Macaca mulatta: one gene and its partners. The protein of the gene in region 2 binds, or shares a complex with, the protein of the main gene of each other region. Links are inferred from orthologs where the notes say so. Each region holds a gene or a part of one and is shown on either strand. Other genes may lie near its edges.

The links. Proteins that work in one complex are often made in the same cells at the same time.
Region 1: MED16 (region 2) and MED26 share a complex: the UniProt entries of both Homo sapiens proteins name them as parts of the mediator complex. The link is inferred for Macaca mulatta from reciprocal best matches to the Homo sapiens genes MED16 and MED26.
Region 3: MED16 (region 2) and MED19 share a complex: the UniProt entries of both Homo sapiens proteins name them as parts of the mediator complex. The link is inferred for Macaca mulatta from reciprocal best matches to the Homo sapiens genes MED16 and MED19.

What each region holds. Positions count from the first base shown.
Region 1 is NC_133424.1:17,072,839-17,076,973, reverse strand, and holds the start of MED26 (mediator of RNA polymerase II transcription subunit 26), read left to right. Parts: upstream 1-1,312; 5' UTR 1,313-1,394; coding exon 1,395-1,496; intron 1,497-1,648; coding exon 1,649-1,723; intron 1,724-2,385; coding exon 2,386-4,041; 3' UTR 4,042-4,135. UniProt on the Homo sapiens protein: Component of the Mediator complex, a coactivator involved in the regulated transcription of nearly all RNA polymerase II-dependent genes.
Region 2 is NC_133424.1:1,528,285-1,531,844, reverse strand, and holds part of MED16 (mediator of RNA polymerase II transcription subunit 16), read left to right. Parts: intron 1-785; coding exon 786-919; intron 920-2,022; coding exon 2,023-2,302; intron 2,303-3,228; coding exon 3,229-3,445; intron 3,446-3,560. UniProt on the Homo sapiens protein: Component of the Mediator complex, a coactivator involved in the regulated transcription of nearly all RNA polymerase II-dependent genes.
Region 3 is NC_133419.1:15,682,033-15,686,087, reverse strand, and holds the start of MED19 (mediator of RNA polymerase II transcription subunit 19), read right to left. Parts: upstream 2,824-4,055; 5' UTR 2,791-2,823; coding exon 2,574-2,790; intron 1-2,573. Other genes in the region: TMX2 (thioredoxin-related transmembrane protein 2), read left to right, coding at 3,227-3,415. UniProt on the Homo sapiens protein: Component of the Mediator complex, a coactivator involved in the regulated transcription of nearly all RNA polymerase II-dependent genes.

The DNA of each region.
Region 1 (4,135 bases), about 16 Mb from region 2:
TTGTTTTGTAATGGCGAACAGAAAGTGCCTAAGTGTCCCACAACATTCAAGTCGGGCCTTCCCCACTCTGGAAGGGATGGTGAGCCAAATGAGGGGCTCTGTTTGAGGCTGGACATTGCTGATGTTAAGTCAGAAAAGGCAAGAACCACGGTCAGTTTGGTTTTGAAATATGTGACAAGTGTAGATGTATACGCCTGCATACACAAGGGATATTTTTGGAAAAAAATGCAAGGTAATGCTACAGTGGCTGGGTCAGAGATGCCCATTTCCTTGTGTGCCCTTTTACGCTGTTTTAATTTGTATCATGTGCCTGCTTAACTCCTTTATCATGTTGGGGTGGGGGTGGGGGGGAGTTGTGTAATCTACTCACTGTGGTTTCCTCAGGGCCCCTGGGTTCCCGCCTGCCAGCCAGCCCACCAGAAACCTGTAGCTGCTGGAGGTGGCGGTTGAGCGGTAGGAATTCTTGTTGTAACAATTAAAGGAGTTAGTAATGTGTGGGAAGTGCTTAGAACAAGGTGTGGCTCCTAGCAAGATCCTAAAAGGGTGGGATTACTCGGTCATAGGATGTGTTCATGTTTCACTCTGCCAGACAAAGTCCAGCCGTTCCCAAAGTCGGCTGTACCCCCAGAAGTACCTAGTATTGTCAGTGGGGTGCGTGTATCATATATCCATTTGTGGGTTCAGTTTGAGTTTTCCTAATTATTGATAAAGCTGAGAAGCTGAGCATTAGCGCTGACATTTCATTGCACAGTGCCTGTTCCTGTCTTGTAGCCACTGTGCGCTGGGTTCCTGGTCAGCTGCACTGCTGCACAGGCATTCTCTGTGTGTTCCAGATACAGCTCCTTGGGGCTTGTGGTCTATGCCTTCTCCCACTTTGTGACTTTCTGCTCTCTTTATGGTGTCTTTGGATTCAAATCGACTGGTTTATTATGTATTGAATTTTTTTTTTTTTTAACGGAGTCTCGCTCTGTCACCCAGGCTGGAGTGCAGTGGCGTGGTCTTGGCTCACTGCAACCTCTGCCTCCCGGGTTCAAGCAGTTCTCATGCCTCAGCCTCCCGAGTAGCTGGGACTACAGGCGCATGCCAGCACACCCAGCTAATTTTTTTATTTTTAGTACAGATGGGGTTTCACTGTGTTCGCCAGGCTGGTCTCAAAACTCCTGATCTCGTGATCCGCCCTCATCGGCCTCCCAAAGTGCTGGGATTACAGGCGTGAGCCACCCGCGCCCAGCCTATGTATTGATCTTTTAAGCTTTGTGGATTTTATTCGATGAATTCTTCAGTGTCTCCTCTCCCACTCCCATCAGATGGCAGAGTAGAGGTCATTTTAAGTATCAGGAGCAGCTCTTGTTTCACAAGCATCCTGGGTTTCAGCAGGTGGGTGGATATGTACCATGTACACTGGAGGGTTTGGAGCAGACCGCACACCACACACTGGAGGAGGTCGGACAGCGGGTGAGGATGAGCACTGGGCGCCAGGTTGGCCTGGGGAGCAGGTAGGAGACTACATGGAGTGGGGGCTTCAGTGCTGCCAGCTCCTCTTGCTCTGGGGTTGGGGAGAGACTGGAGCAGGCTGGGGTAGGGTGTCCCTGCCTCCCAGGGGAGAAGGGCAGGAACCTGACAAATGGCTTTTTCTTTATTTCCACAGATCCGGAACATGGTGGCGGTGCTGGAAGTCATCTCCAGCCTGGAGAAATACCCCATTACCAAAGAGGCACTTGAGGTGAGTATCCCAGACCCCAGCATTTGGGAGTGCAGAATGGGGGACAGGGGACGGCACCAACCCAGTTCCTTCCCCAGCTTCTAGGAGCGTGTGTCTTTGCTTCAGAGGACCAAGAGAGGCGGTGTGCCCTCACAGCTTGTGCCCCGTGATCTTGCTCTCCTGTGGCCACTGCAGTGACCAAGTGGCATTAATCCCATCCTACCTGCCCAGCACACTTCATGGGCACGTGGGCACGTGGGGACATGGGGACATCAGGAGAGGTGTGCTTGGGGGAGGCTCCAATGAGAGGCGCCGTCCCCAACCCTCCACTTGAAGCAGACCCTCTGTGCTGCCGCCTTGGCCACAGCACCCTCTCATCCAGAAAGCCTCCCTGGCAGTGTCCTTACAGTGGCCTTGACAGCCCCCTGGCACCAGGAGCCTGCGGGACAGCACTGCTGAGAAGCCACCTGGGACTCTGAAGGTCTGGGGACTAGGTTTGAGAATTTATATTGTCACAAAGGACCGGAAATCCCCAGGAGTTTTGTGCCAGGGAGGCTGGCAGTTTAGGGCTCAGTGGGAACCAGGTCATTTCATTGTCAGGGCCATTTCCCACCATTTCTGGCTCAGCTCATGGGGAAGTCCCTGTCCCGAAAGTATGTCATCATCTCTCTTTCTGGTTGTAGGAAACACGACTTGGGAAGCTCATCAACGACGTCCGCAAGAAAACCAAGAACGAGGAGCTCGCCAAGCGGGCCAAGAAGCTGCTGCGGAGCTGGCAGAAGCTCATCGAGCCAGCGCACCAGCATGAGGCAGCGCTGCGGGGGCTGGCGGGGGCCACTGGCTCTGCCAACGGGGGTGCACACAACTGCCGGCCGGAGGTGGGGGCGGCTGGCCCGCCCAGGAGCATCCATGACCTGAAGAGCCGCAATGACCTCCAGAGGCTGCCCGGGCAGCGGCTGGACAGGCTGGGCAGCCGCAAGCGCAGGGGTGACCAGCGTGACCTCGGCCACCCAGGGCCACCACCTAAGGTCTCCAAAGCTAGCCACGACCCCCTGGTCCCCAACTCATCCCCCCTCCCTACCAATGGCATCAGTGGGAGTCCAGAGAGCTTCCCTGGCTCCCTGGATGGCAGTGGGCATGCAGGCCCAGAGGGCGGCCGCCTGGAGCGTGGCGAGAACGACAAGCACAGTGGCAAGATCCCCATCAACGCTGTGCGGCCGCACACCAGCTCCCCAGGCCTGGGCAAGCCCCCTGGACCCTGCTTGCAGCCAAAGGCTTCGGTGCTGCAGCAGTTGGACAGGGTGGATGAGACTCCGGGGCCTCCCCACCCCAAGGGGCCCCCTCGCTGCTCTTTCAGTCCTCGGAACTCACGGCATGAGGGCTCCTTTGCCCGGCAGCAGAGCTTGTATGCACCCAAGGGCTCCGTGCCCAGCCCCTCACCGCGGCCCCAGGCGCTCGATGCCACACAGGTGCCGTCACCGCTTCCACTGGCACAGCCGTCCACACCCCCTGTACGGCGGCTTGAGCTGCTGCCCAGTGCGGAAAGCCCAGTGCGCTGGCTTGAGCAGCCGGAAAGCCACCAGCGGCTGGCGGGGCCGGGCTGCAAGGCAGGGCTGTCCCCAGCCGAGCCCCTCCTGTCCCGGGCGGGCTTCTCCCCAGACTCCTCCAAGGCGGACAGTGACGCTGCCTCCTCAGGGGGCTCGGACAGTAAAAAGAAGAAGAGGTACCGGCCTCGAGATTACACGGTTAACTTGGACGGGCAGGTGGCTGAGGCGGGCGTCAAGCCTGTCCGGTTAAAAGAGCGGAAGCTCACCTTTGACCCCATGACAAGACAGATCAAACCTCTGACCCAGAAAGAGCCAGTGCGGGCAGACAGCCCTGTGCACATGGAGCAGCAGTCCAGGACAGAGCTGGACAAGCAGGAGGCCAAGGCCAGCCTCCAGAGCCCCTTTGAACAGACGAACTGGAAGGAGCTGTCACGCAACGAGATCATCCAGTCCTACCTGAGCCGGCAGAGCAGCCTGCTCTCATCGTCGGGCGCGCAGACCCCGGGGGCTCACCACTTCATGTCTGAGTACCTGAAGCAGGAGGAGAGCACCCGGCAAGGGGCCAGGCAGCTGCACGTGCTGGTGCCTCAAAGCCCGCCCACAGACCTCCCCGGGCTGACCCGGGATATCACACAGGACGATCTCGACAGAATCCAGGCCAGCCAGTGGCCGGGGGTGAACGGGTGTCAGGACACACAGGGTAACTGGTATGACTGGACGCAGTGCATATCACTTGATCCGCACGGCGATGACGGGCGCTTGAACATTCTGCCTTATGTCTGTTTGGACTGACCGGCCCGTCAGCCACGAAGTGCATTCCCATCTTGCAGAAGCCGGGCGGGCGGGCAGGCAGGTGGGTGGGTGGCCGGGGCCCAGCTGCCTCCTG
Region 2 (3,560 bases):
TGGCTCAGGCCTGTAATCCCAGCACTTTGGGAGGCCGAGGTGAGCGGATCATGAGGTCAGAGGTCAGATCGAGACCATCCTGGCTAACACAGTGAAACCCCATCTCTAGTAAAAATACAAAAATGAGCAGGGCACGTTGGAAGGTGCCTGTAGTCCCAGCTACTCTGGAGGCTGAGGCAGGAGAATTGCTTGAACCCGGGAGGCAGAGCTTGCAGTGAGCTGAGATCGTGCCATTGTACTCCAGCCTGGGCGGCGTGAGACTCAGTCTCAAAAAATTTAAAAATTAGGGTTATTGTTTGTCTGGAGTACCCAGCTCACTGTGGGCGTGTGGCGCTCGTGGTATCTAGGAGCTGTGTGCACAGTCATTATTTCTGTGGGGCCACCCTAGTCACCATCCAACAGGCATCTGTTGGGTGTGTAACCGGCGCCAGGTGCCGGTCCTGCGTGGCTGCAGCTGCAGTGTGGACACACTGCTGTGTTCACAGAGTTCACCTCGGAGCAGGGGCAGATGTGCACCAGCGGGCCGGGCCTGAGCAGTGGTGGCCCTGGCATGGGGACCTGCCCGCGCCAAGGCCTGCAGGCCGAGAGAAGCGGCCCCCAGGTGGGCGGGCAGTGGGCTCCCGGTTCCTCCCTGGCAACGCCATCGCCCCCTTCTCCTTCCCGCCGTGGGTCCCCTTGTGTCCTGGCAGCGGCTGGGCGCTCGGTGCAGGTCGAAGGACCGAGGGGTGCAGTTAGGTCACCGTGTACAAGAAGCCCGAGCTGACCCGACCCGTGTCTCCTTGCAGACATTGACAAGGTCATGATCAACCTCAAGACGGAGGAGTTTGTCCTGGACATGAACACGCTGCAGGCGCTGCAGCAGCTCTTGCAGTGGGTGGGCGACTTCGTGCTCTACCTGCTGGCCAGCCTGCCCAACCAGGTGCGCTGCGCTCGCCCCTGAGGCTGCCCTCGCCCCTGAGGCTGCCCTCCCCGAGGCCCCGCCCCTCATCGGGGCCCTGACTCCTGGCCCCGCCCCTCATCTGGGCCCTGACTCCTGGCCCCGCCCCTCATCTGGGCCCTGACTCCCTGGCCCCGCCCCTCATCAGGGACCTGCCTCCCTGGCCCCGCCCCTCATCTGGGCCCTGACTCCTGGCCCCGCCCCTCATCTGGGCCCTGACTCCCTGGCCCCGCCCCACATCAGGGCCCTGCCTCCCTGGCCCCGCCTCTCATCTGAGCCCTGACTCCCTGGCCCCGCCCCTCATCTGGGCCCTGCCTCCTTGGCCCTGCCCCTGAAAACCACTTCAGCCCCGCCCCTACTTGGAGCCCCACCTCCTGACACTGTCTATTCTCAAAGCTCCACTGCCTATCCCGCCCGTCCTGAAGCGCTGCCCCACCTCAGAGCCCTCACCTCCATGAAGCTTCTGCAAAAAACCCTTCCTTGACCACACACTTTCTGCCCATTCTCGAAGCCCCGCCTCCCAGACCCTGCCCCTTCTCGGTCCCACCCTTTACTCTCCCCAGCTCCCGGTGCAGGAGGCGGTTGGGGGGAGTTGGCAGCTTTGAAATCATCAAGTCTCCATCCACACCCCCACCTTCAAGTATGCGGCCTGTGTGCCCCGAGCAGGGCTCCAGCCTCCCCCCGCCCACACACTCTGTCCTGCCCAAACCGTGACTTCTCTCCCCAAGTTTCATTCTGCCCTGGGGCCTCTGTCTCTCCACCCGCGCCCATCAGGCACGGTTTGAAGTCCCTGTCTGCTCCTTGTGGGACTTGAGGCTGCCAGGTTCTCTCGGCTCCCAGTACAGCCACCAGGGCCACTCAGCTGTGGGGGGCGGCTGCTCCTCCATGTGCCGGTGGGGACGTTGGCCTCAGCCAGAGCCGCTTCTTAGTCCTGTGGCGGCTCAGGGATGGGACAGCTCTCCAGACGGGGCTGTCCTGGGCCCTGCAGGGCGCTGAGCAGTGTCCCCGGCATCCACCCACTCCGTGCCAGGAGCTCCCCAGTCCTGACCACCACAAACGTCCCAGACCCTGTCCATTGCCTCCAGGTCGGGGTTCCACCGGACCCGAGAGACCTCATCCCATCACCATCTGCCCCCCCGCCGCCCAGCTACTCCGATGCCTCTTTCCGGCAGGGCTCGCTGCTGAGGCCGGGCCACAGCTTCCTGCGGGATGGCACCTCGCTGGGCATGCTTCGGGAGCTGATGGTGGTCATCCGCATCTGGGGCCTGCTGAAGCCCAGCTGCCTGCCTGTGTACACAGCCACCTCGGACACCCAGGACAGCATGTCGCTGCTCTTCCGCTTGCTCACCAAGCTCTGGATCTGCTGTGAGGCCCCCTGCCCTCTGCTCCCCTCTCCCTACCAGAACACACCGCGTCCGAGCCCCCTGCCAGAACATAAGCCCTCTGCTCTCCTCTCCCTACCAGAACATACCGTGTCCGAGCCCCCCGCCAGAACATAAGCCCTCTGCTCCCCTCTCCTACCAGAATGCACCGTGTCCGAGCCCCCCGCCAGAACATAAGCCCCTGCAGGTGGCAATGGCTCTGCCTTGATCTCTGCCATTTCCTCGGTTCGCAGCACAGGTCCATGCTCGGTGTGGGTGCCATTGGGATGGCAGCCACTCCCAGGCTCCTATTTGCTGTCTCTCCTTGTCAGGTTGTGTGTATGTGAGGAGGGTGGGTTGGATCGTTCTTATGTCTCAGTGTCTGGGAAAGGCACAGTGCTTCCCACATACTTTTTTTTTCTTTTTTTGAGATGGAGTCTTGCTCCGTTACCCGGGCTGGAGCGCAGTGGCGCAATCTCGGCTCACTGCAAGCTCCACCTTCCAGGTTCACGCCATTCTCCTGCCTCAGCCTCCGGAGTAGCTGGAACTACAGGCGCCCGCCACTGCGCCTGGCTAACTTTCTGTATTTTTAGTAGAGACGGGGTTTCACAGTGTTTGCCAGGATGATCTCCATCTCCTGACCTCGTGATCCACCCGCCTTGGCCTCCCAAAGTGCTGGGATTATAGGCGTGAGTCACCGCGCCCGGCCAGCTTCCTACATACTTTTTAAGTGAATGAGGGAGTCTCATTATTGAGGCCAGAGAGGGTGAGAGAACCCTGGGGTCACCCAGCCAGGCAGACAGAGCCGGGGCCCCGACCTGGTGCTCCTGAACTGGAGGGGCTCCCCGTGCGTCCCGGGTGGCCGGGTGGTGCCCCGGGCAGGGTTGCCCCAGGCAGAGTTGCCGAGACCTTGGCCACCCCTCTCTGCAGGTCGCGATGAGGGCCCAGCGAGCGAGCCAGACGAGGCGCTGGTGGACGAGTGCTGCCTGCTGCCCAGCCAGCTGCTTATCCCCAGCCTGGACTGGCTGCCCGCCAGCGACGGCCTGGTCAGCCGCCTGCAGCCCAAACAGCCCCTACGTCTGCAGTTCGGCCGGGCGCCCACACTGCCTGGCAGTGCTGCCACCCTGCAGCTCGATGGCCTTGCAAGGTGCGTGTGTCCCTGCATTGGTCCCCAAACACACCTCCCTCCATGCCCTGCCCCAAGGCCCCCCGAATCCACACAGCTCCCTCCCTCCGTGTCCTGCCCCAGAGCCCCCCAATCC
Region 3 (4,055 bases), on a different chromosome or scaffold from region 2:
ACTCGGGAGGCTGAGGCAGGAGAATCGCCTGAACCTGGGAGGCGGAGGTTTCAGTGAGCCGAGATTGCGCCATTGCACTCCAGCCTGCGCAACAAGAGCAAAACTCTGTCTCAGGAGAAAAAAAAAAAAAAAAAAAAAAGAGAGAGAAAGGCAGCATCTTGGAGACCAAACATGTCCAAAACAACTCGATTTCCACCTCTTCAAACTTGTTCCTTCCTCATCTTCCAAGTCTCGTACCCATACACCCAATTATTCAAGCTGAAAACTTAAAAAGGCATCAATTCCTCTATCTCCTTCACTTCTATATACAATATGTATTTTTAACTGAGACAGCTTCTTCCTCTATCATCTAAGCTGGAGCACAGTGGCACAATCACAGCTCACTGCAGCCTCAACTTCCTGGGCTCAAGTGATTCTACCACCTCAGCTTCCTAAGTAGCTGAGACTACAGGTGTACGCTGCTATCCCTAGCTAATTTACTTTTATTTTTTGTAGAGATGGGGTCTCATTATATTGCCCAGGCTGGTCTCAAACTTTTGGGCTCAAGCAGTCCTCCCACCTCAGCCTCCCAAAGTGCTGGGATTACTGGCGTTAGCCACAGCACCTGGCTCTATATTCAGCTTTTCAACCCTGTCAGCTCTACATCTAACACCCTGTATCCATTTACTTCTCTAAATAAGTACATTTGACCAAGTTCCTATGTTAAAATGGCTTTCCTTGGCTGGGCACAGTGGCTCAGGCCTATAATCCTAGCACTTTGGGTGGCCAAGGTGGGAGGACTGTCATTGGCCAGGAGTTCAAGACCAGCTTGGGCAACACAGTAAGACCCAGTCTTTACAAAAAATTTTTAAGTTAGCCAACTGTGGTGGCACATGCCTGCAGTCCTAGCTACTTGGGAGGCTGAGGTGGGAGGACAGCATGCGCCTAGGAATTGGAGGTTACAGTGAGCTATGACTGTACCACTGCAGTCCAGCCTGGGTGACACAGTGAGACCTTGTCTCTATAAAAAATTGTTTTAAATGGCTTCCTTTTGTATTTACAATCTAAATGCCTTTATTGCTTTATAAAAGCCTCTGCCTAACTCTCCCAGCTTCATCTCTCTCCTAACACTCTTTCCTTTTGTTCACTTCACTGGAGTCCAACTGATTTTCTGTCCCTCAGATATTCTAAGCTTTTTCTCACATCAGGGTTTCTGACCTCATTTCCTGTATCTAGAATTATCTCTCCCTCCTGTCCATAGCTGGCTGGCCCTTTGTCTATGCTTACATTTTAGTTCAAATTTTAGCTATGTGGAGAGAGCATCTCTGGCCACTCTAGCTAAAGTAGTTCTGCCCCTCAATTTTTTTTTTAAGAGACAGGGTCTCATCTGTTGCCTAGGCTGGAGTGCAGTGGCACAATCTTGGTTCACTGCAGCCTGGACCTCCTGTGTTCAAGCAATTCTCCTCCCTTAGTCTCCTGAGTAGCTGGGGCTACAGGCAAGCACTACCACGGCCGGCTAATCTTGTATGTTTTGTAGAGACTGGGTCTCGCCATGTTGCCCAGGCTGGTCTCAAACTCCTGGGCTCAAAGGATCCTCCTGCCTCAGCCTACCCAAGCGCTGGGATTACAGGCGTGAGCAATGCGCCTGGCCACCTTCAATTTTTTATAATGTTTTCTCTTCCTAGCATTAACCACTCTCTGACATTATCTTGTTTACAATGCCTCCTACACTGAAATGTACATTCCAAAAAAGGCAAGCATCTTGTCAGTCTTGTTCACAACTGTATCTCCAGCATTTAGAAAAGTGCTTGGTACATAGGTACTCAACAAAATAATTTTTTGAATGAAAAGAGTTTGGTTCGATTCTTACCCCTTCTTTGATGACACCAGGAAACGCAGAAATCTTGGAAGAGTGGCAACTTGCCCCAAACCCACAGCAAGTCTGTGGGAGACTTGTAACTAAAACTTTAGGTCCCCAAAGATATTAAATCAGGCCTCTCGAGTTCCAAACTCAAACTCTTGATTTTTTGTTTGTTTGTTTTTGTTTTGAGACGGAGTCTCATTCTATCGCCCAGGCTGGAGTGCAGTGGAGCAATCTCGGCTCAATGCAACCTCCGCCTCCCGGGTTCCGAGTAGCTGGAATTAAAGGTATACGCCACCACGCCCAAGTAATTTTTGTGTTTTTAGTACAGACAGAGTTGCATCATGTTGGCCAGGCTGGTCTCGAACTCCTGACCTGAGGTGATTCGCCCGCCTCCGTCTCCCAGAGTGTTGGGATTACAGGCGTGAGCCACTGCGCCCAGCCCTAGATCATTTTTTAGGGAGACATAAACCAGTGTCAGGAACACAGCCTGGACATGGTGCAAAAGACAGTCACGGAGATGCACCACCCCGCTCCCCGCCATTCATCCCTTTGGTTGAATTCAACTCATCCCTCTGCTTGTGAATCCTAATAGCCCTTTCGACTTAGGGCTCCACAGTCCGGGTATGCGTTGCCTAGGTTACCTCGCACCTCCGTTAGCCGGCTGAGAGCCACGCCCAACACCTCCTCTCTAAGATTTGATTGGCTGGCTTTGGCAAGGCCGAGTACTCACCTGGCAGTTCCCTCATGAGGTAAAAAGGGCCACAGCCAGCTCCTGACTTGTCCGCGCCGGGAGGGGCCGTGGCCGCGGTGGGAGGCGGAGCCGTGCCGGGTCCCCCGCCCGGAGGAGGCGGTGGCGGGGGTGGAGGCTTTCCTGGTCCGAAGCCTAGTGCGGTTGGGGGCGGTGGTGGGTCAGCCTGAGCCCCGAACAGCGCCGTGAAATTCTCCATCGTCCCCTCCGCCCCGGCGCTGTCTCGGTGTCTGGCGTTGGTAATTTTCATTGGACAATGCCTTTAAGGAATACCCACCTCTTTCTCAAGGAACCGCTTGTCATTGGATGCCTCAGGCACCGCCTACCTTGTTTCAACAACTACTTCCGTCGCTCTCTGAGAACGTTCAGGAAGTGCTATTTAACCTTATTAGAGTCTTCTGCTAGCTACGTTAGCTACAGTCCAATAAAATGACTTAAGCTGATAAAGCGACAGCTAGACCAACCAATAAGATATTAAGTTCTTTTTTGGGTTCTGACATACCACAGCGTTGACAGAACTACATCCGGGTTTAGAGGCCGTACGTTTGAGATGTAGCCCAATAGCAGTCGCTATGGTGGGGGAGGCGGGGCCGGACCTACGACGCCGGTGAGCAGTGGCCCTTGCGGCCGAAAAGATGGCGGTCTTGGCTCCTCTAATTGCTCTGGTGTATTCGGTGCCGCGACTTTCACGATGGCTTGCCCAACCTTACTACCTTCTGTCGGCCCTGCTCTCTGCTGCCTTCCTACTCGTGAGGAAACTGCCGCCACTCTGCCACGGTTTGCCCACCCAACGCGAAGACGGTAACCCGTGTGACTTTGACTGGGTGAGCGTCCCGCGTCTCAGTACCGCGACCTTGACTGTCCCTGCCCTTGCAGGTGCATCTGGGAACCCTGGGGTTTACCTTTCTGAGGACACCTGAGGTTCCGAGCCTGTAGCGGATTTAACAGACTGTAAAGTGCAGAGTCCGAAACATCGTCGAGACTAAACTTTGTGTTTAATATGGGAAAACGGAACCTGTTAGTCGTAGCCCTGTACAACGGCCCAACAGCTTCTGACTGTTGAGTCCAGGTTTCTTTCCATTTCACCATTTAGACTAAGAAACAGCCCTGTCAAAACTGTACATATACGTGTATAGCATCTTACAGTGCCGCTCATTATGTAAAGCCTCCTGAGGAGCCAGTAAGGTAGGGAAGGCAAGTAGTAGTAGTCCTGTTTCATTGGTGAAGGAATGGATCTTGGTATATTTAGGCGACTTGCCCCAGGTCATGCAACTAATGAGTGCCTGGGACTTGAAACTATTCTTGTGGCCACACTACCTGCACACACTGTCAGCCGTTTCTTAATTCAATCAGCATTTCTAGAGTGTACACTCTAGGCACTCTGCTTGATCCTGAGGATGCGAAAGTGGATAAAATTTTGGGGCTACTGTAAAGGAATTGTAAAAAATAAGTTGTAAAGAAATC